Linked DNA regions of Saccharomyces cerevisiae S288C. The protein of the gene in region 1 interacts with the protein of each later gene in a biochemical or structural test. Each region holds a gene or a part of one and is shown in the gene's direction. Other genes may lie near its edges. The genes, in order: CYC8, MIG1, RFX1 and TUP1.

Region 1 (6,562 bases):
TGATGCATAAACGACAGAACTTATGGTGACATTTAGATTCAATGGGCTCCTCAGCTTCATCGTTACATAATTGGCAGATCACGACGCCGATATCATCGCCAGGAAAATTGTTTAATCTTTTCAAAACTAAATCAGGATGATCTGCCAGTTGCCTCATTCTTGTGATTAGGGTGAAAATGTTTGCATAATTGTTTAGAACAACACCCTCCTCAACAAAGGAATTATACTTCCTTTTAGAATCTGTGTATAAACTTCTGTAAAGATCTTTTTCCTCTTCATTGAAGAAGTCTCTCCTCACGGTAACAATTCTGGGCGGTAGACCCAAGTCATCCGCTCTTTCCACTTTAGTTCTTCGCAGCATGATGTTTTTCAATAATGTCTGAATGTTATTAAAAGACTCTAAACCAGGACCTTCCACACCAAATTTCTGAATGTTCTTCAACATGAAATGGTTGAAGAAATTCGTGTGTTGCATAATGACGTGACTACAATGGTCACAATGCATGCGATCCGTAAATTTCCAGTCCTTCGAAGCGCAATCACACTTGGTACAAAAGTACTTTGTGAAAGGATTGATATTTAAGAATCTGATCAAAGAATACATCTCACCAATTCTATTTTGCAGCGGAGTACCCGACAGGCACCATCGCTTTTGCGTTTTTAAGTTGTTTACAGCCCTAGCAGTATTGCTTTGTCTATCCTTGATATTGTGTGCCTCATCCAGAATAACTCTATAAAAGTCAATATTATGCAATACGGAAGGCTGCTTGAAAAGTCCATTTTTCCTTCTAAACCCGTAGTTTTGCTTTCTGAATACCGATTCCAGCACTGCGTAAGTGGTTAGTACAACATCGTAGCCTTGCAAATCTTTGATATCCGTGGTTCTGGAAGCACCGTGATAAATGTATATTTTCAGTTGTCCCTTTGTATGTTGTTCTATTTCGTTTTTCCACTGCATCAGCGCCACGGTAGGGGCAACAACTAAAGACGGAGACTTAGTCAAATCGTTCATTAATAGGGCAATAGTTTGGATGGTCTTACCCATACCCATTTCGTCTGCCAAAACACCGCCCGCATAAATGCTCTCCTCTTGAGATATTAGCCAATGAAGACCTTCTAACTGGAAAGGTAGCAGTTTGATGGTCATACCATCCGGCTGCTTGGATCTTTGGGGGACATAGGGAGGTGCATTTTTCAAATCCGTGAAAACATTCCTTAGTTCAGGATGATGCTCATATAATCGCAAAGTGTTTCTTTCATATGGGGTTACCTTCGGTGACTTTTTCTTGGTGCTCGTTTTTTTCTTCTTCTTCCTAGCAGTTGTCTTCCTTTTCTTTGTTAACGGTTCGTCGTCATCCGAAACATCACGTTCCTCCTTGATTTCTATTATCTCGTCATTATCATTCTTGATCGCATGAGTATTCTCATCGGTGGCGGTCCGCTCTTTATCTGAACCTGTTAGGTCTATGATAAAATCTTTGTCATCGTCGTCGGGTGATTTCACGAGCGTAGCATCATCACGGTATTCTTCATCTTGGCTGTCATTTACGTTTTCGCTGTTCCCTTTCAGCTGCAGAGTTTTTGAGTTTTTCACAGCTGTATCGTCATCGCTTAGTTCATTATAATTAACACTTTTTTTCGTACTTCTCGTACGCCTTCTACGGATAAAGCCCCCTTCTTGCATGATTTTTCAGTTGGTACACCAGTTATACGGCCAAGAGTATCTAAAATTACCAAAACTACTAAGGTTTGAAAACACCACGCAGCATTACGTCGTTATACTGTCGGTTTTATTAGTCCTTAAGGTCCTATCTGTGCATTTTTTTTATAGCGTTAATCCGAAACTTGAAAAAAAAAAGAAAAGGGAAATGAAAAGGGAAGAAAAAGAAACGGAGGCGCAGGAGGAAGGAGGGGGGAAAAATAGAAGCAACGCAGAAGTCCCCACTGTTTCCCTGGCAACCATGGCGGGAAAAGGGTAACAGATTTTTTCGAGGAGTAACACATTTTGTGCTGTGTGGGTTGGTAGTTTTGGCGGCTAAAAATCAAAGGGAAGAGGGGATGTACTACTTTCAAACCTTCTCACTTTTTGTTGATTTTGAGTGCTGTAAGGATTGTGGTTTAGGCATTTTGACAAGCTCCTTAAAATCTAAGCGTCGGAACAACTGACGAACTTTAAAACCATAAACTCAAAAACCGGTCAACATGAAACCGTTACGGTTTCTCGGTATCCTATGCTTTAAGCTAATGAAACATCCACATAACGAAGATAAAAACTAAAGCACATCCGATCTGAGTTTTGAGCTGGGCGGCAAAAACAAAACTGTCAGTGGCTGGCTGATACAGGGCACGTGAGAGGTCACTGAGGACGAAGGGTGCGGCTCACCCGGATTGGCTGAGTCACCTTCATCGCGTCCACGTCACTCCTCGTTCGCTTTTTTTTTCCCTTTTCTTCTTTTGTGCACCACTCAGGGCACGAGAAAAGCTTATTTTTTTCGTGCACACTCCGTTCTTAGTGGTTGTTCCACATCTTTTTTGTGCTTGTGCGTTTGCCAATGCTAAAATGGAAATTGCCTTATAACGTGGGCCATGTCATGCCGTGTCCTCTCGTTTCGTAAAACTTACCACACGTACCGGACTGTTCCGTCCTGTCTCGTATCGCACGGGTGCCGTATCGGCTCTAATTATTTTATCTCTCTATTTTCTTTCTTTTCTCTGCGCTACTCCTTTCTCGATCGTTGCTACTCCCGTCGCTAGCCACTGGTCTCCCGCGTACTGTACTCCATCTTTTTTTGGCGTTTTTCCCCTATCCAACTCGAACAAGGTTTGTTTAAATTTATTTTATTTTTCTTTTCTTCGGTCGGTCGTTCTTTTCCCTTCCGATTATCAAAGCAAAAGCGCATTTTTTTCTTTGTCTTTTTGTTTTTTGTTTCCTGTTCTCTGTTTTTTTACAAACCACGTCAGGAGTTCAATTGAGAGAACTAGAATCAACAAAGCCAAATACGACAACGTCACTAGTCTTTGAACCAGAGGCGTATTCCCGTTACCTCTTTTCCCATATTTCTGTTTTTCTTTTTCACTGCTATAAGCCTTTAGACTAGTACTACAACTACAACAGCAACAACAACAAACAAAACACGACTGGAAAAAAAAAATTAGGAAAAATGAATCCGGGCGGTGAACAAACAATAATGGAACAACCCGCTCAACAGCAACAACAACAGCAACAACAACAGCAGCAACAGCAACAGCAGGCAGCAGTTCCTCAGCAGCCACTCGACCCATTAACACAATCAACTGCGGAAACTTGGCTCTCCATTGCTTCTTTGGCAGAAACCCTTGGTGATGGCGACAGGGCCGCAATGGCATATGACGCCACTTTACAGTTCAATCCCTCATCTGCAAAGGCTTTAACATCTTTGGCTCACTTGTACCGTTCCAGAGACATGTTCCAAAGAGCTGCAGAATTATATGAAAGAGCACTTTTGGTAAATCCCGAACTATCAGATGTGTGGGCTACTTTAGGTCATTGTTATCTGATGCTGGATGATCTGCAAAGAGCTTACAATGCCTATCAACAGGCTCTCTACCACCTCAGTAATCCCAACGTACCGAAATTATGGCATGGAATCGGCATTCTTTATGACAGATATGGTTCGCTCGACTATGCCGAAGAAGCTTTTGCCAAAGTTTTGGAATTGGACCCTCATTTTGAAAAGGCAAACGAAATTTACTTCAGACTAGGTATTATTTATAAACATCAGGGTAAATGGTCTCAAGCTTTGGAATGCTTCAGATACATTCTCCCTCAACCTCCTGCTCCCTTGCAGGAGTGGGACATATGGTTTCAGTTGGGTAGTGTTTTGGAGAGTATGGGAGAGTGGCAAGGTGCGAAGGAAGCCTACGAGCATGTCTTGGCTCAAAATCAACATCATGCCAAAGTATTACAACAATTAGGTTGTCTTTACGGTATGAGTAACGTACAATTTTATGACCCTCAAAAGGCATTGGATTATCTTCTAAAGTCGTTAGAAGCAGATCCCTCCGATGCCACTACATGGTACCATCTCGGTAGAGTGCATATGATTAGAACAGATTATACTGCCGCATATGATGCTTTCCAACAAGCTGTTAATAGAGATTCAAGAAACCCTATCTTTTGGTGCTCAATCGGTGTTTTATATTACCAAATTTCTCAATACAGAGACGCCTTAGACGCGTACACAAGAGCCATAAGATTAAATCCTTATATTAGTGAAGTTTGGTACGATCTAGGTACTCTTTACGAAACTTGTAACAACCAATTATCTGACGCCCTTGATGCGTATAAGCAAGCTGCAAGACTGGACGTAAATAATGTTCACATAAGAGAAAGATTAGAAGCTTTAACAAAGCAGTTAGAAAACCCAGGCAATATAAACAAATCGAACGGTGCGCCAACGAATGCCTCTCCTGCCCCACCTCCTGTGATTTTACAACCTACCTTACAACCTAATGATCAAGGAAATCCTTTGAACACTAGAATTTCAGCCCAATCTGCCAATGCTACTGCTTCAATGGTACAACAACAGCATCCTGCTCAACAAACGCCTATTAACTCTTCTGCAACAATGTACAGTAATGGAGCTTCCCCTCAATTACAAGCTCAAGCTCAAGCTCAAGCTCAAGCACAAGCTCAAGCACAAGCACAAGCTCAAGCACAAGCACAAGCACAAGCGCAAGCACAAGCACAAGCACAGGCGCAAGCACAGGCACAAGCACAAGCACAAGCACATGCACAAGCGCAAGCACAAGCACAAGCACAGGCACAAGCACAAGCACAGGCGCAGGCACAACAACAACAACAACAACAGCAACAACAACAACAACAACAACAACAACAACAACAACAACAACAACAACAACAACAACAACAGCAGCAGCAATTACAGCCCCTACCAAGACAACAGCTGCAGCAAAAGGGAGTTTCTGTGCAAATGTTAAATCCTCAACAAGGGCAACCATATATCACACAGCCAACAGTCATACAAGCTCACCAACTGCAACCATTTTCTACACAAGCTATGGAACATCCGCAAAGCTCTCAACTGCCACCTCAACAGCAACAACTACAATCTGTTCAACATCCACAACAACTTCAAGGCCAGCCTCAAGCCCAAGCTCCCCAACCTTTAATCCAGCATAACGTGGAACAGAACGTTTTACCTCAAAAGAGATACATGGAAGGTGCAATCCACACTTTAGTAGATGCCGCCGTATCCAGTAGCACCCACACAGAGAATAACACAAAGTCTCCTCGTCAACCAACCCATGCCATTCCAACGCAAGCTCCCGCAACAGGAATAACGAACGCTGAACCACAGGTAAAGAAGCAAAAGTTGAACTCTCCAAATTCAAACATCAACAAATTAGTAAATACTGCTACTTCCATTGAAGAAAATGCAAAATCTGAGGTGAGCAACCAATCGCCAGCAGTAGTGGAGTCTAATACCAATAATACTTCACAAGAAGAAAAACCTGTAAAAGCAAACTCAATACCTTCAGTAATTGGCGCACAGGAACCTCCACAGGAAGCTAGTCCTGCTGAAGAAGCTACCAAAGCAGCTTCTGTTTCTCCTTCTACAAAACCGCTTAATACGGAACCAGAGTCATCTAGTGTCCAACCAACTGTATCATCAGAAAGTTCAACAACAAAAGCAAATGACCAAAGCACTGCTGAGACCATAGAACTTTCTACTGCTACTGTTCCTGCAGAAGCAAGCCCTGTAGAAGACGAAGTAAGACAGCATTCTAAAGAGGAAAACGGCACAACTGAAGCATCTGCACCTTCTACTGAAGAGGCGGAGCCAGCAGCTTCCAGAGATGCTGAAAAACAACAAGATGAAACCGCTGCTACAACGATAACTGTAATCAAACCTACTTTGGAAACAATGGAAACAGTGAAAGAGGAGGCCAAAATGCGTGAGGAAGAGCAAACATCTCAAGAAAAATCCCCACAGGAGAACACACTTCCAAGAGAAAATGTAGTAAGGCAAGTGGAAGAAGATGAAAACTACGACGACTAAAAAGTTTGCATTCAAAAAATTAATCTACTAATTTATAATCAACGAGAAATGTTGTGTAGCTCACAATTCATTCATTATGTTGTGGATACATATATAAATAAAGAAAAGGCTAAAAAAAAAGGTGGGTAACGTGAATTAGGTTATTTTTCATATATGCACATGTAAATATATGCGTATATAAATATATTATTATTTGTATCATTACATACTTAAAATCTATTATTGCTTAAAAGGTTTTCCCGATGAGCATATGTAATAATATTGGGAATTAAGGTGCATTTTCGTATCCTTCATTGTGTATCTACAATCTCTTCAAGAAATTCCCTTATTTGCTTTAAAACGGTTTCCCTTGTTGAATCCGATACCATTTCTAGAAAAAAAAATTCCACTGTTAGTAACGTTCTCTTTTCAATAAATTTAGTGATAAAATATTCACATACCTAATGCTTTGGGTTCTACGGTGGATAAAATTTGGGTAAAGTTCGTAGATTCATTTATGT
Region 2 (5,062 bases), on another chromosome or scaffold:
CCTTTTGCCTGAATGGCTCTATCGTTTGATTTCTTTTTCGGTGCCATATCTTTCAAATAGAGCCTGGTCAGTTCACGTTAGCTTTATTATTAATATTTGTTAGAAACAACTCTTAAAACGCTTCTCTTTTTCGGTCGCGTAAAAGGATAATATTATTAATGGAAAATTTAGCCGCCGAGGACATAATCTTTTGAATCTTCATAAAAAAGCAACTGTAAGCAATGTAAAGTCCAAAACTTTACCATTTTTTGTTTGATCTTGCATGAGAATACCGGGTGAGCCTAACATGAAAAAGATAGCTAGCCACTATTGTAAAAATGTGATAAAGGATACGAGACTCAAATTCACTTGGATAACTATCTAGCAGGTTTTGAGTCAGCCATATTAGGTTACATACCGGTCCAAACCTATATAGAGCCATTGTACGATCCGACTACAAGTTATTTATATGGAAATTAACAGATTGTTTGGAGTCACCGTACGCAGCTCACATAGATAGCTTATTGTGCAAAATATAATTAAATAAAGATGCAAGATGGATGATAACAAGAATTATAAGCAAAGGATTATTGATGTTCCGAATAATTCAATTCACTATATAACAGGTGTTGGGTATATGTATGTGATCTACCTGGTACGTGTAATTTAAAAAATAAAATAATTGGGAAAACTACGGAATTACGTTTGCGCATTGCGTCCGAAGATCAGCACCTCAGATAAAAAATCAACTTTCGCCGTGGTAGACTTCGAGATACTCTGCTAATAGCGATGCTCGATATTACTACCAATGTATGTGAAGGTTTTGATTGTATTCAATCCTTTTTCAGATAATTTACCCTTGCTTTAAGCTGCGTATATCAAGTGCATTTGCTGTCTGCTGATGTCAATTAATTGTATCAATTGGCCAGCTTCGGATAACGAACGATTATCGCGCGAGTGAAATAGACTGGGTCGACCCTTTTGAATTATCACGGCATCGCAATATCTTTGGAGCAGTACAACATTTACTTTTCTTGACCAATCCTAAGAGTTTGTATACATTTTTTGTAAACTGTAGTACGGCGTTAGAGTCAAGAAGTAGCTTATTATATCCTGTGCACAAATTTCAAAGTTTTTGCCGCCATCATATGGCTGAAAGAGGGCAGCAAATTCCATCTCGTTATTTTTGCATATCAACGCAAGCGTTACACAAGATATGGTTAGAAGCAACGAGCAGAAATTCATTACAATGACAGAAATTAATTGCCGTTGCAACATTGTTTTGCCTCTATCGCGTGTGTTTCCTTGAAGGCAGTGTATCACTGAATGTCATCAGTAATGTTACCAAGAATGAACATCCTCCAAATACTCATAGAAACCCGTTTAAAATTCGGGAATTGATGACTTCCTTATGGTAGGCAAGTGTGATTTACAGACTTTCCATGCGATGAACCCCTATTTTAATCGTATGGATCACCAGATCAAGAATTGGCAGTTCTGTCCCATTATTAGAATAGCGAGAAAACGGATGCTTTCATAATTTTTGATTGTTGCTTCATCCTATTTCACCCTATTTAATAGCCTTCTGTAGAAATATCGTGTATGGTTCCTTTATCATTGCTTAGCATAGCTGCCACTAACCTACATTAATCGACTTTTTCCCGGAAAATTAGCGGGTAATCGATTTTTCTAGATGGCATTGTGGAGGAAAGTAAGTGCGTGGGGTGTGTAAGTTGCCGTACAATGCAGTATAACCAGTAGGACTGGAAGGTAGTCAGTACAGTAAGACTAGAAGTTAGCGAGCCAGCACGTTTCCTTCGCGCCGGTTTTTTTTTTTATTTTTTATTTAATTTTTTTCAAAACTTGACGTGTAGAAGATTGACGTCTGGGGTTGGCCCCATGAATTTTTTATCTATTTCTTCCCTGTGCCTAATTCGTAATATCTCCACTGATAGCGTAAAAAAGCGCTTTATTTTTCCGAAAGTTGTGATGGCATTCCATACAGTTTATAGGATGGTAGCAAGTGATAAGAGCTTGGGGCCCACAATTAAGCAGCAGAAAAGCGCAATTGCGACACTAGCAGTGTAACTCGATAGGATTTTATGGAGTGTTGATGAATGTAGTTGCCATTATAATGGCTTCTCAGGAAACCTGTAGCGGCCGGGCCCCGCGAGAAACTCCAGAGTGGCGTAGGCCGGCTTGTTTAGTTGCTAGCATACTTGTTCGAGCTCTTGAGTTCTCCTGGCTTTTCTCCACGTGTCTGCTTGTTGCCTTTGATTTCGCGAGAGACTGCGGACTGCCACCCCACTCCGGGAAAACCTGGAGTGATGGTAAAGGCCCTGCGGCGCTTTCTTTCGGAAAAACTAATACGAAAGAAGCAACAACAAATTTTTACAACAGGCTGGACGAGAAAAGTGGGGAAGAGCAAGCAGAAAAAAGAAAAGAGAATAGTCGTTCTTGGATAATTTATTTATTATAACCCTTTTTTTTCACCCCAGTACTCATTAACGAAGACAAAGGAGAGTAAGAAAGCCCGGTAAAGCATTTCGAAGATAAGAGAGCCATTTATTCTAGCTCGCTTGTAACTACACGAGAGTTGAGTATAGTGGAGACGACATACTACCATAGCCATGCAAAGCCCATATCCAATGACACAAGTGTCTAACGTTGATGATGGGTCACTATTGAAGGAGAGTAAAAGCAAGTCCAAAGTAGCTGCGAAGTCAGAGGCGCCAAGACCACATGCTTGTCCTATCTGTCATAGAGCTTTTCACAGACTGGAACATCAGACGAGACACATGAGAATTCATACAGGTGAGAAGCCTCACGCGTGTGACTTCCCCGGATGTGTGAAAAGGTTCAGTAGAAGCGATGAACTGACGAGACACAGAAGAATTCATACAAACTCCCACCCTCGAGGTAAAAGAGGCAGAAAGAAGAAGGTTGTGGGCTCTCCAATAAATAGTGCTAGTTCTAGTGCTACCAGTATACCAGATTTAAATACGGCAAATTTTTCACCGCCATTACCACAGCAACACCTATCGCCTTTAATTCCTATTGCTATTGCTCCGAAAGAAAATTCAAGTCGATCTTCTACAAGAAAAGGTAGAAAAACCAAATTCGAAATCGGCGAAAGTGGTGGGAATGACCCATATATGGTTTCTTCTCCCAAAACGATGGCTAAGATTCCCGTCTCGGTGAAGCCTCCACCTTCTTTAGCACTGAATAATATGAACTACCAAACTTCATCCGCTTCCACTGCTTTGTCTTCGTTGAGCAATAGCCATAGTGGCAGTAGACTGAAACTGAACGCGTTATCGTCCCTACAAATGATGACGCCCATTGCTAGCAGTGCGCCAAGGACTGTTTTCATAGACGGTCCTGAACAGAAACAACTACAACAACAACAAAATTCTCTTTCACCACGTTATTCCAACACTGTTATATTACCAAGGCCGCGATCTTTAACGGATTTTCAAGGATTGAACAATGCAAATCCAAACAACAATGGAAGTCTCAGAGCACAAACTCAGAGTTCCGTACAGTTGAAGAGACCAAGTTCAGTTTTAAGTTTGAACGACTTGTTGGTTGGCCAAAGAAATACCAACGAATCTGACTCTGATTTTACTACTGGTGGTGAGGATGAAGAAGACGGACTAAAGGACCCGTCTAACTCTAGTATCGATAACCTTGAGCAAGACTATTTGCAAGAGCAATCAAGAAAGAAATCTAAGACTTCCACGCCCACGACAATGCTAAGTAGATCCACTAGTGGTACGAATTTGCACACTTTGGGGTATGTAATGAACCAAAATCACTTGCATTTCTCCTCATCATCTCCTGATTTCCAAAAGGAGTTGAACAACAGATTACTGAACGTTCAACAACAGCAGCAAGAGCAACATACCCTACTGCAATCACAAAATACGTCAAACCAAAGTCAAAATCAAAATCAAAATCAAATGATGGCTTCCAGTAGTTCGTTAAGTACAACCCCGTTATTATTGTCACCAAGGGTGAATATGATTAATACTGCTATATCCACCCAACAAACCCCCATTTCTCAGTCGGATTCACAAGTTCAAGAACTGGAAACATTACCACCCATAAGAAGTTTACCGTTGCCCTTCCCACACATGGACTGATACGCTGACAAGTTTTTGGCGGTGCAGATAAATCAAAAGACAATAGACAAGAATTAATAATATTAACAATTAATAATTAATAAATAATAAATAATAATAATAATAATAATAATAATAATAATAATAGTAATAATAATAATAATTAATAACGATAAAAATATTTAATTATGATAGTAAGAATACATATTTTGATTGTCTTAGTCTTCCGCAGAGATAATTAATTGTTCTCATTTTCAAAGTCATCTATATGTATTGATTGAGCTCTACTGTTGTTTTTAACTTTATTGTGGCCCCCTAAAATATAATTTTTACCAGTATTAACCATTTTGCTCTTATTAGTACTTTTACTGATGGTGGAACCCTTGAAATTTGTCATGGGCGATTCAATCCATAGATTGTTATTGCTGCTTCCACTAGTGTTCTTGTATGGAATTGGTGTCGTAGGTGCCGTAGTCATAGCATCGGTTGCTCTAGTTAAGGTGGTTGGTTGTCTCGTCATATTGGTATTGGTTGTGTTGAATGAATTGTCAAGAGAATAACTCTCATTCATGGAACCAGGTCCTTGTGTGCCGCTGTTATTGTTGCTACCATTACTTTCCTGAGAAATTAGGCTGCTTTTGTTGAACAAAAACCTGTTGGAAGAACATGGAGTAGAGTTTTGAGGCTGCTGCTGCTGCTTACTAACGTTAGTGTTAGTGTTTTTCGACGTGGACGGTATGAAAGATGTGGACGAGTAGACATCGTACTTCGATAACGTAGTAAAGTTTTCAATATTTTTCTGCGCAGCTGATTGTGATGATGTACAATTATCGCTTGTTGATGCTGAAGTTATTGTATTTGGTGGAGTGGATATCACAAATTGAACATCCTCAGGGAATAATTTCAGCAAGTCAGATGTTGTTAGTTTTATTGGCTTAATCTTTGGTTGCTCTTCATAG
Region 3 (6,132 bases), on another chromosome or scaffold:
TCACCAATTCCATATAAACACCGATCTGGAAGTCGTCCAGTTTCAAGCGATTCAGTTCAGGGGCCACGACAATTCCAGTGTTGTCCATGGAATAGTGGGACATCATATCCTGATACATCTCCCACTCAAACTTGTTTGAATCATAAAATTTGGAATCTATCGATAAATTGTTCGGTATAGCACAAAGCCAAATTCTTGTTTTGTAAAACTTAAAGAGTTCTTTGATCAGGTCTCTGAAATCATTACGCTCCTGGCAAATGTAGTAGAAAGTCAATTTCTTTCTGTCGAATTGGAACTCTGCATTCAATATTTTGATGTTCAACCCGCCACCGGAGTTATTGTTATTTAGCGACCTCAGTTTTAGCTGTGCAATGTGAAGAGCCTTTAGCTCATCCTGGAATTTGTTGTGTAAATTCGTGGAGGATTCCCACGGGGTGGCAAATCTCAGAACCTGCTTTGATGGGATGATCAATTGCGTTAGTTCAATGATATCATATAACTTCGGATTCAACTCATGAGCGACCGGCTTACCATTGGTTGTATCAACCAGAGTCTTGATAAACTGGTCATTGGGGAAATGCTGTTGACTATTGGTGATTAGAGAATCAAAGTGAATTTTTTTCTTCAAAAAATTTATAAATAGTGCCAAATTTATATCTACAACCGGTTCCACCACCAAAACTAAATCTTTACCACGATCACCATCAATAATGACCAAATCGCCCCTTTTCAGTATAAGTGTGGCCGTTTGTGGTTTAGACAACAGTTCGAGCTTACCATTTTTCAACGATACTAACACTAATGGCTTATAGTGCAAATGCATTGAAGTGCTGTTCTTGGATTTGGCCGCCCCGGTCGACGAAGCGTTTGAAACAGCAGTGGAGATGAATGCGTCAGACTGTGGGTTGTAATTCAGATTACAATTTTTCAAAAAATCCAAAAACTCTATAATCCTGGAACTGGAGGCGGAGACATTATCCCCGCGTAAAGTTCCCTTTATGCTGTCAATAAATTTATAAACTTTATCACTAGCAAAATAGTTTGACCCGCAGTCAAGATATAAGTCATGCAGCTCCTTGGATGACGTCAAATTCTTGCCGTCGACAACCGCCAATCCGGCATCGTTTGTGGGAGCGGCTGCCGGATGCAAGTTCAGCACTGGCTGGGTGTTGCGCCTAGCATTGAAGGGTGACGAGTACTGTTGCTGCTGAGTATACTCGGAAGGAGCAGTGTATGGTACTTGCAAAGATGGGTTGTTGTTAATATATACAGGTTGCGAGTATTGTGGTTGCTGGGTAGCCGCATTGCCATGAATCAGCGCATCAGAAATATAGGAAGATCTTCTTCCCGGGTCAAAGATGCTTTGTTGCTGTTGCTGCTGCTGCTGCTGCTGCTGCTGCTGCTGTTTCTGTGGATAGTATTTTTGGGAGCTGTTGTTTAAGGGAGAAAGAATATTGTTAGGCGAAGTGTTCATCACATTCAAGTAATCCTGTTTGTATGGCTTTCTGTCCTGAGTCGGGGTGCCGTTAAACTCAAATGAGAAAAGAGACAAATTAGGGCTCTTCCCGTTAATGCTCATCTCGCTCTGTTTCCTTCCTTCGTCCGCAAATGCGCTGAACGAGGCCCTTTTAGTGTTCTTCTGCCCCAGAAGAGACTGCTTATCCTCTCTGAAACCGATGTAACCGTTGATAAAGTCAACTCTGGAGCGGGGATGCGCAGCAGCGCTGTTGTCGTTAAAATCTGCCATTTTTCCTGGCAAATCCGCTAGCGACTTGCCACTATTGTTCTTGAACAGCAACTTGTCATAGTAATTCCTTAACTCCTGGTTGTCGGATATACTTGTGGTGCTATTTATTGAAGGCAGCTCCATGGTACCCTATTTCTATCTTTATTCCTGTGTCTATACGTCTATGCACTCTAGTGAGCTGATATTGAATGGCGCCTCCTCTCTCCATTGTTCTTTTATTGTTTATATACTGTGCCAGCGATCCCCGCGTGTCCTGCCCCTGAAACACCGGCGCAGGAACCCCTTGAGCGTGGGGAAGGGGAAGGTTCAATTTACGGGCAGCTCGAGCTGCCCGTAAATTGAACCACACTCTCTTGGTATTTGGATAATCAAGTGTGTACATACTTTGTGCAAGTGGGATTTACCCTACACCTCTCGAGGCCTTGTCCTACGATAGTCGTAATAACGCAGACAGCACCAGCGATACAGCAGCACCAACACACCAAGAAAAATAACCATCAACCGTACGGAAGCCCCTTTGTATGCTGGGTAGCTGATGTGCACCTAAATCAGCCGGGCGTGGCAGCAGTCGACGCATACTTGTTTCTTTAGCTCTATTCTTGTTACAGGACCATCTAGGTATGCAAAAACGAAGGTGCGGTTTTTCCTATCTGGTACGGTGCGGAAGAGGGAAAGAAGAAACGAAGGTCCAATGGTAGCGCCACTCCACGATATACAGCTTCGTTGGTAAAACCACGAGTTTGGAATCAAACTCGTGGCTCACCTATGGATCTTCGGATTTTATTTCAAGCACGGTCACCTCCCCTTCGTTGCGGTTTCTTGCGCACGTTTGTGGTGTCTATTGCTGCAACAGTTGAACCTGTTTTTGATTTCGTAATTTTTCTCCTGTCGTTTCGTGTTGTCATGGCGATTTGGGAAAAAGTTGAAAAAAAAAATAGCAGTAAATGGTAATCTTCAAAGAACGCAAACCAACAGAAAACCTTTTCACTAGAAAAATACCTGCCAAGTACTTCATCTTCTCGCCTAGTTTTTTGTCTGTTCATTATTTTGAATTTTATTTGCCCATGTCCGGTGATAATAACATTGAACCTACTAGTCGGGGCTCGAACGACAATAGCAACGGTCCAAGTAACGGATCTTCGGTAAACAGTAATCGGTACAGTTTAAACGCACCCAAGTACAGCAGCCAACCACCGCCAGCATCACACACTTATTTGCCCCCCATGTCAGTGAATATCCCGCCCATAGCGAGCAAATCATCGTCAATATACAGCCTGCTACACCAAAGTTCCCCCCGCCCGGAGACGCCAAATCCAATATTACCGCCACTTATCGGTAGTGGTCCCGGCTCCCATAAACCATCTCCTACCCCTACACAGCCTCCTGCACAACCCGCAACACAACGGCAACCTGCCACATACTCAGTGTATCCAGCGTCTATCAGCCTGAATAGATCGAATTCATCTGCTTACCCACTTTCTTTCAAGTCAGAGGAAACCTTAAACAATAATCCTCCTACTGCTGCCAAACGTACCAATACCTTCCCCTCAATTCCAAGCAGTACGAAAAAACAGAAAACAAGCCAAGAGAAACGAATCTCTTCCATTTCAAGGAGAAACACGCAAGAAATAATTGCTAAGCAAATTGCAGAAAATAACAAATCTAAAACCATCGAGGAGTATGCGCAGATCGTGAAGCATGCAGAAATCAAAGTCCTGAGCATGGACTCACAGAACACTTCAAAGGCAGCTTTGCAGCTGGCGGAACAAAACAGAGAAAGAGAAAGACAAGTGTTTGCGTTACTTTGGTTAATGAAAAATTGTAAATCTCAGCACGATAGTTACGTACCAAGAGGCAAAATATTTGCTCAATACGCTTCATCTTGTTCCCAAAACAACCTGAAGCCCTTATCACAGGCGTCATTAGGGAAGTTGATAAGAACAGTTTTTCCTGATTTAACGACTAGAAGGCTGGGTATGAGAGGTCAATCCAAATACCACTACTGCGGATTGAAACTAACTGTCAACGAAAGCGGCTCCGTGTCCCTTAATAACAACAATGCTTCGTTATCCTTAGTACACAATAACGATCCCATATCGCCCCTATCGTCTCCATCGCCCTCTTCACCTTCGCCGCAGGTACCTAACGTTTCATCGCCGTTCTCATTAAATAGAAAAAGTCTTTCTCGAACTGGGTCGCCCGTTAAACAGAGTAGTAATGACAACCCTAACGAACCAGAACTCGAATCACAGCATCCAAACGAAACAGAAGCAAATAAACTAGATTCGCTGCCACCAGCGGCAAATAACCCTACCGGAACACTGTCTTCAGATGAATTAACTTTCACTCATGATTTAATTGAAAAAGTTTTCAATTGTAATGACAAGCTATCAGATAACTATAATACCCAAATATTATCGAACACAGAACATCCGCTTTTGACATCATATAAGTTAGACTTCCCAAAAATTCCCGCAGGTGTACTCCCCACAGACACTGATTCGGATGTTATATCATCCTTGGAGTCATTATATCATATCCATTGCAACTCCGTTTATGAATGCATCAAGTTTCTGAAGAGTGATAATATATCAAATGCATTATTCTTCTCTAACTCTAACTCTATATCGCCCACGATGTTTAATCTATTCATTTCTGAGCCATTGATTGATTGGGTAACTAAATGTGACTTAATCACCTATACAGGGTTAATCAAATTTTTTTCACAATTTATAATTCATTCTAATGAGATCAGTGACTCAATCATTCAAAAACTGGAAAGTATGATCAAGCTATTGCCCGAACAAATTAATAAGGCTGTTTTAGAATTACCAAAAGCGCTAGTGCAAAGGAAGTTATCAATTATTAATAATTTTACCAAACTAGTGAAAAAACTAATAAAGTTATTAAAATTCATTCTAAACTTCTTGAAAAGTTTTCCTATATTTAAAAGTGGCATGAATAATGACTGGAAGAATATTGTAAATTTAGACGATATTTTGGAAATGATGATTAATGAAGACGATACAAATTCAGAGACAAACACAATAATGCAACATTTACAAGGGTTCTGTCAAGTTTTCGTAACAAAGTTCTTAAATTCCTCTATGAGCGTTAGCAATGATCCCTCTGTGTCTATCGAATGCAAGTCCTTAAATGAAATGATTAAAGATTTTTGTTCCTTTATTTCCCTACAAAGCAAATTTTCGTGCTTGAAATTAATTGATTGCAGCACAAGATTCAGGAATGCAATAATCGGCGATATTAGCTTAAAATCAAATGAGAATTTGCTATCATGGTTGTTTCTAAATAATGTCATGGGCCAATTGCTGAACTACTGTTTTGAAGTCATGAAATTCGTCAATGGCCTAAAAGTTTAAAAGTTCTATCATTAGTATATGGGGATATTTAAAAAAGAATATAACGTTGCATATGTAAAAAAAATAAAAGTAAAAGAATACTACAAGTCGTTGATAAAGAAATTTTACGTTATTAATATACACACTAAAAAAAATCTAATCTAATAATAGAAAAAGTTTTTTGAAAAAAAGAAAGCTGTTAAATATATAGGATGAGATGGAGTGATGAGAATCATTTCTTAGATTTCTTAGATTTCTTTTCCTCAGAATCACCGTCTTCAGACTTTCTTTTCTTCTCCTTTTTCTCTTTCTTTTCCTTCTTGTCCTTCTTTTCTTTCTTTTCCTTCTTTTCCTTCTTGTCCTTCTTCTCTTTCTTTTCCTTTTTGCTGTCATCCTCTTTCACTTCTTCCTTCTCAGTTTCGACTTCTTTGATTAAAGAATCTTCTTTAGCTTTCTTAGGCTCTTCTTCAGTTTCCTTAGTTTCCTGAGAGCTAGAAGTTGACTGTTCAGCATTGTCTAATGGAACATATTCTTTTTTCCATTGTTCTGGGGTGTTTTCGTTAACACGGCCGTATTTATCCAATTTGCCGTCTGCCTTCATTTGCTTCTTCTTTTGTGCGACTGGACCCAAACCCCATCTTCTTGGGTATAAATCTCTTTCCATGATACATCTCTTCACACTAGCAACAACACCATGATCACAGGAAGCTAAGTCAACGGTTGACATTTGTGCGATGGCAACGGCAATGGCTTCACCCTTGGTAGTTATCAAGACAATTTCGTCATATAACTCAATACCTTCTTCGTAACGCAATAAACCAGGGATCATCAACTTTGCACCATAACATACTGCATTGACAGCAGAATCCTTCACTACAATTCTCTTGTAACCAACCAATAGAGTTTCTAAAGGTTGAATAATGGATCTCAAGTAAGATTCATCTCTTGTATTGTCGTAAACCCATTGGGCATCCATAACATCATGTAAAGTGACCATGTTGTCATTTTCAGACAGAGCACCGGATC
Region 4 (5,830 bases), on another chromosome or scaffold:
TACATGCATAGATTGCTCCAAGACGTTTGAAGATGGCGTGAGTTACAAGAATCACACGTCTTGCATCAGCGAGGACGAGAAGTACCAGAAAGCGTTGTACAAGGGCAACAAGAAGCAGAAGCAGAAGCAGCAGCAGAAGCAGCAGCAGAAGCAGCACCAGCACCAGCCAGTGGCAACTCCTGCAAAGAAAGTGGAGAAGCCTGTGATCAAGAAGGCAGAGAAAGTGGAAAAGACCTCGAACGGTATCGAGCTTCACAAGGGCAAGTCGTTGTACAAAATTTTGAAAACCATGAAGGATAAAGGGGCAAAAAAGACCTTCTTGAAAAGTCTGGTTGTGGATTCTGAGGGGCAAATCAGGTATGCAAAGGAATAATCGGAATTTTATGTGTAGATATATAGACATTATGTAGCAGCTTACTCGGTTTCATCTTTTTTCTCTCTTTTCTTATTCAGGCTTTTAGCGATTTTGTTATAGAATTGGTTTAGCGACGAGAGGGGGAAACTCAACGTTTCGAAGAGGTATTCCGGTAGTTTCGACTGTAGCGAGTATAGTTCCTCGGTGGATCGCTGTTTAAGAACGGGCGCATATATGACTTCTGTGACTTGGGCCTGGCCCTTGACAAATCCGAGTTTATAGTCCATTATCGAATAATCATCGGAAGATCCCCCTGAGTGGGTGCCCTGCGAGATGTCGAACCACAACCCAGAATCATCCTCGTAGCTTTTATGTACACGTACGTTACAGAGGTACTCGTAAAGGTCCTTTATGACTTCTGAATTTTCTGCCTGTTGGGAAGTCTGAGTCTTCAGCTCCTTGACTTGTGCGTTTAGCGAGTCTATCTGCTTCTGCAGCTGTTTGATCTCGGTTGCTTTTGTATCCAGCTTCTCCGACAGTACGAAATTCTCATTTACCAAATTTGCCACTAGTAAGTCTGCGGAATCGATCTGTTGTTTCACTGAGTTTTTGTATACAGTCAATGGATCCATTTTGCGCACGTTGGATTGTCTTGTTTCGCTTTCTTTTTTTTATTGTTCCTGTTTATCTATCTAATGACCTTCTTGTCTGTCTGCTTCTTCACTGTTTTGATTTCAATGTGACCTTTTTCCAATCATTTTTCAATGTAAACAAATACAAGATATTGAAGCATAAACAAAATAAAATGAAATAATACGGGAAGAGCGCAGAGGGTGAACAGAATAAGGCGAGCCATAATGAGGCCGCCCTTCTTCACTCTTGACGCCAGTTGAGTGAGGGACTGAATACTATATACAGTAAATAATTCGTAAAATTGATATTTAGTTTTACCAAGCATTGCCAGGCCGCAAATCAGACCGTTATCCGTTGTAACTTCTTCAGCTATAAAACAATGCGCTGACGTTTTTGATAGCATAACAGATGTTTCATTGTAAACATCATTATTTGTACATAAAAAGACATAAACATATGTATATAAGAACAACATAAACAAATAAATAAACCAGGAAAGCCCTAATTTACCCTTCTTTTTGGCTGAGCAATCTAGGAGTTAATAATTTTTTGGAACTTTCACCCTAACATTTTTAGAGACAGAACCCTCTTACATTATCGCTACCGACGGACCTTAATTTTTCGTACTTTTCAAAAAACACTGAAAAACTGCGAAAAAATTAAAAAGCTCTCCCGTCAAAGCAACAAACAACAAAACAAAATAACAAGTACATAAGTAAACAAATAGAGAGAAATTCCCCCATCTACCCCCAATTGATAAACATCAGCGAAGCAAGAACAACTGGCTGAACACGTGCCCCTCTATCTGTCCTTCTGCAATTGTTTAATTTTCTTTCACGCCAAGTTACCTTTCGCACACCACTACTCTTTTTCTATTGTTTTTTTGTCTTTTTTGATAAGCAGGGGAAGAAAGAAATCAGCTTTCCATCCAAACCAATATGACTGCCAGCGTTTCGAATACGCAGAATAAGCTGAATGAGCTTCTCGATGCCATCAGACAGGAGTTTCTCCAAGTCTCACAAGAGGCAAATACCTACCGTCTTCAAAACCAAAAGGATTACGATTTCAAAATGAACCAGCAGCTGGCTGAGATGCAGCAGATAAGAAACACCGTCTACGAACTGGAACTAACTCACAGGAAAATGAAGGACGCGTACGAAGAAGAGATCAAGCACTTGAAACTAGGGCTGGAGCAAAGAGACCATCAAATTGCATCTTTGACCGTCCAGCAACAGCGGCAACAGCAACAGCAGCAACAGGTCCAGCAGCATTTACAACAGCAACAGCAGCAGCTAGCCGCTGCATCTGCATCTGTTCCAGTTGCGCAACAACCACCGGCTACTACTTCGGCCACCGCCACTCCAGCAGCAAACACAACTACTGGTTCGCCATCGGCCTTCCCAGTACAAGCTAGCCGTCCTAATCTGGTTGGCTCACAGTTGCCTACCACCACTTTGCCTGTGGTGTCCTCAAACGCCCAACAACAACTACCACAACAGCAACTGCAACAGCAGCAACTTCAACAACAGCAACCACCTCCCCAGGTTTCCGTGGCACCATTGAGTAACACAGCCATCAACGGATCTCCTACTTCTAAAGAGACCACTACTTTACCCTCTGTCAAGGCACCTGAATCTACGTTGAAAGAAACTGAACCGGAAAATAATAATACCTCGAAGATAAATGACACCGGATCCGCCACCACGGCCACCACTACCACCGCAACTGAAACTGAAATCAAACCTAAGGAGGAAGACGCCACCCCGGCTAGTTTGCACCAGGATCACTACTTAGTCCCTTATAATCAAAGAGCAAACCACTCTAAACCTATCCCACCTTTCCTTTTGGATCTAGATTCCCAGTCTGTTCCCGATGCTCTGAAGAAGCAAACAAATGATTATTATATTTTATACAACCCGGCACTACCAAGAGAAATTGACGTTGAGTTACACAAATCTTTGGATCATACTTCAGTTGTTTGTTGCGTGAAGTTCAGTAACGATGGTGAATACTTAGCCACAGGCTGCAACAAAACTACTCAAGTGTATCGCGTTTCAGATGGTTCTCTGGTGGCCCGTCTATCTGACGATTCTGCTGCCAATAACCATCGAAATTCGATCACTGAAAATAACACCACCACGTCCACGGATAACAATACAATGACAACCACTACTACCACCACAATTACTACCACAGCGATGACTTCGGCAGCAGAATTGGCAAAAGATGTGGAAAACCTGAACACTTCGTCTTCCCCATCATCCGACTTGTATATCCGTTCAGTGTGTTTTTCTCCAGATGGGAAATTTTTGGCAACAGGTGCTGAAGACAGACTGATTAGAATTTGGGATATTGAAAATAGAAAGATTGTTATGATTCTTCAAGGCCACGAACAAGATATTTATTCATTGGACTACTTTCCCTCAGGTGACAAATTAGTCTCCGGTTCTGGTGACCGTACCGTTCGTATTTGGGACTTACGTACAGGCCAGTGTTCATTGACTTTATCCATTGAAGATGGTGTTACCACCGTCGCTGTATCACCAGGTGATGGTAAATACATCGCTGCTGGTTCTCTAGATCGTGCTGTGAGAGTTTGGGATTCCGAGACCGGATTCTTGGTGGAAAGACTAGATTCGGAAAACGAATCCGGTACAGGCCACAAGGACTCTGTTTATAGCGTTGTCTTCACTAGAGATGGACAAAGCGTTGTATCCGGCTCATTAGATAGATCTGTTAAGCTCTGGAATTTGCAGAATGCAAACAACAAGAGCGATTCGAAAACTCCAAATTCCGGCACTTGTGAAGTTACGTATATCGGGCATAAAGACTTTGTATTGTCCGTGGCCACCACACAAAATGATGAGTACATCTTGTCCGGTTCCAAAGATCGTGGTGTCCTGTTTTGGGATAAGAAATCCGGCAATCCGTTATTGATGTTGCAAGGTCATAGGAATTCAGTTATATCTGTGGCTGTGGCAAACGGGTCTCCGCTGGGTCCAGAATATAACGTTTTTGCTACTGGTAGCGGTGATTGTAAAGCAAGGATTTGGAAGTATAAAAAAATAGCGCCAAATTAAGAACAGAACACAAAAGGAACACTTTACAAATGTAACTAACTAAACTATTCTTCAATTCATTGTCATTATATCTTTCTCTCTATTCTTTTTTATCTACTTATTTGTTATGTTATGATCCAGGTACGCTTTAAAACAAACAGTTACTTTCCTCACCATTCATCCCTTCCCCTCCTTTTCCTGTGTTTCTGAATATTGCGGTTCATTATTCTTTGATATGAATTTATTTGTGTATTGTATAAGCTTACTTTCCTTTTATATGTATATGTATATATATATATATATATACTATCTTTTTTCTTATATTTAAAACTAAAAAAAAAAAAACTACATGTGCTCATGAATATAAAATTTATAGATCTTTGATTCCCTTCTCTAAAGCAGTAGGGTTAGCTCCAATGATCTTGCCGATGAGTTGGCCATCCTTGCCAAGAACAAAGGTGGGCATAGCCGTCACTTCACACTCTTTGGCAATATCTGGTGATTCGTCCACGTCGCACTTGACAAATCTTACATCTGGATAAGCCTGAATTAATTTCGTTAAGTGTGGTTGCATCATCTTACAGGGGCCACACCAAGTAGCATAAAAATCGATGACTAGTTTATCATTTTGCTTGATCAAATTCCTAAATTCTGTTAGGTTCGTCAATTTAGTAATACTGGTGTATGAGGACTGGAATCTTATGCTTTTTAGCGGTCTCACCGCCATCCTCATCACAGGCTTATAGAACAACATAACAGCTTTGGTTTCTCTATGTACTAACCAATCCTGCTTTCTTTGGTTAGGGGGCTAGCTCATTTTATATCTCATCGGGGCAATTTTTTCCATCACAGAATACTAGGCAACAAAATCTGCAGAAGCACAATCCACATTTGGAATTAAAAGATAGTGAAAAATGTACATGAACCCCAACCAGTAACTTAAACATAATATTTTGGGTCACTATATCTAGGGCGTTGTTCTTCTTTGTGATTTATGCAATATACGCATATATGTATATATATATAAATATATGTTTAAAAATGTCCATAGCCGCTATTTGATCATAATAAGCCATCTTCATACAAAGCCAACAATTGATCGTTCTCTGCTATATAAGCGTTGATATCTAGGGCAAACTTGTCCCAGTCTATCTGGGGAATGTCGTCGTTGCTAATCCATTTTTGCTTTTGAAATCCGTTCTCTACAGTGAAAATTTCTCGCAGTAAATCCCTATTCTCCGCCAATACATCAACAAATTCCTGGTAATTCTTGGTATTTTGAATTTTGTGGAAAAGAGAACACAGATTCTTGACAAAAGATTCTCTTTCGTTAATAAGCGTCTCTAGCTGTGTTCTTCGTTGTTGCAGTACGATGTAATCGAGATCTTGATGCAGGTCAGTTTTTTGAAACTTGGCCACAGCATCGTGCGTTCCCTTTGGGGTGATCATTCCAGTTTAAATAGACTGGTACACGCTAGTACTGATCTTGTAAGCGGATGAGCACTTTGTCTTAATCCTCCTTAACCATCGCTCATAAACCCCAGTTTTATAATCGGTGGCAAACATGTCATTTGGTACGGTATCATTTAGAGGAATCAATTGGTTGGGTATTAAAACTGACACATAATTACTGTTATTGGTAAATTTATAATTTATCCATTTGGATATATTCTGAGATCAATGTGGATTTTTCCTCTCAAACCGAGCATCAAAAAGACTCAGGTTTACACAGGAATCGTTAAACGCAGTCGTATCATTACTGCCTGTAGCCATGTCATCTGTG

The links.
Region 2: the proteins of CYC8 (region 1) and MIG1 form a complex in vitro, tested with the Saccharomyces cerevisiae proteins (2 studies listed by BioGRID).
Region 3: the proteins of CYC8 (region 1) and RFX1 form a complex in vitro, tested with the Saccharomyces cerevisiae proteins (2 studies listed by BioGRID).
Region 4: the proteins of CYC8 (region 1) and TUP1 form a complex in vitro, tested with the Saccharomyces cerevisiae proteins (6 studies listed by BioGRID).

Annotation. Positions count from the first base shown.
Region 1 is NC_001134.8:462,370-468,931, reverse strand, and holds CYC8 (transcription regulator CYC8), read left to right. Parts: upstream 1-3,161; coding exon 3,162-6,062; downstream 6,063-6,562. Other genes in the region: DNA repair protein RAD16, read right to left, coding at 1-1,684; SUS1 (Sus1p), read right to left, coding at 6,353-6,432, 6,503-6,562. UniProt on the Saccharomyces cerevisiae protein: Acts as a component of the CYC8-TUP1 corepressor complex which is involved in the repression of many genes in a wide variety of physiological processes including heme-regulated and catabolite repressed genes.
Region 2 is NC_001139.9:430,610-435,671, reverse strand, and holds MIG1 (transcription factor MIG1), read left to right. Parts: upstream 1-2,609; coding exon 2,610-4,124; downstream 4,125-5,062. Other genes in the region: HOP2 (Hop2p), read right to left, coding at 1-47; YGL034C (uncharacterized protein), read left to right, coding at 2,093-2,458; VIR1 (Vir1p), read right to left, coding at 4,342-5,062. UniProt on the Saccharomyces cerevisiae protein: Involved in glucose repression of the SUC, GAL and MAL genes as well as of the CAT8 gene. Binds to two sites in the upstream region of SUC2.
Region 3 is NC_001144.5:506,792-512,923, reverse strand, and holds RFX1 (Rfx1p), read left to right. Parts: upstream 1-2,691; coding exon 2,692-5,127; downstream 5,128-6,132. Other genes in the region: YLR177W (uncharacterized protein), read right to left, coding at 1-1,870; pseudouridine synthase CBF5, read right to left, coding at 5,339-6,132.
Region 4 is NC_001135.5:258,549-264,378, reverse strand, and holds TUP1 (chromatin-silencing transcriptional regulator TUP1), read left to right. Parts: upstream 1-1,926; coding exon 1,927-4,068; downstream 4,069-5,830. Other genes in the region: YCR087C-A (uncharacterized protein), read left to right, coding at 1-373; CSM1 (Csm1p), read right to left, coding at 415-987; YCR085W (uncharacterized protein), read right to left, coding at 1,110-1,463; TRX3 (Trx3p), read right to left, coding at 4,418-4,801; AHC2 (Ahc2p), read right to left, coding at 5,110-5,496; SRB8 (Srb8p), read right to left, coding at 5,725-5,830. UniProt on the Saccharomyces cerevisiae protein: Acts as a component of the CYC8-TUP1 corepressor complex which is involved in the repression of many genes in a wide variety of physiological processes including heme-regulated and catabolite repressed genes.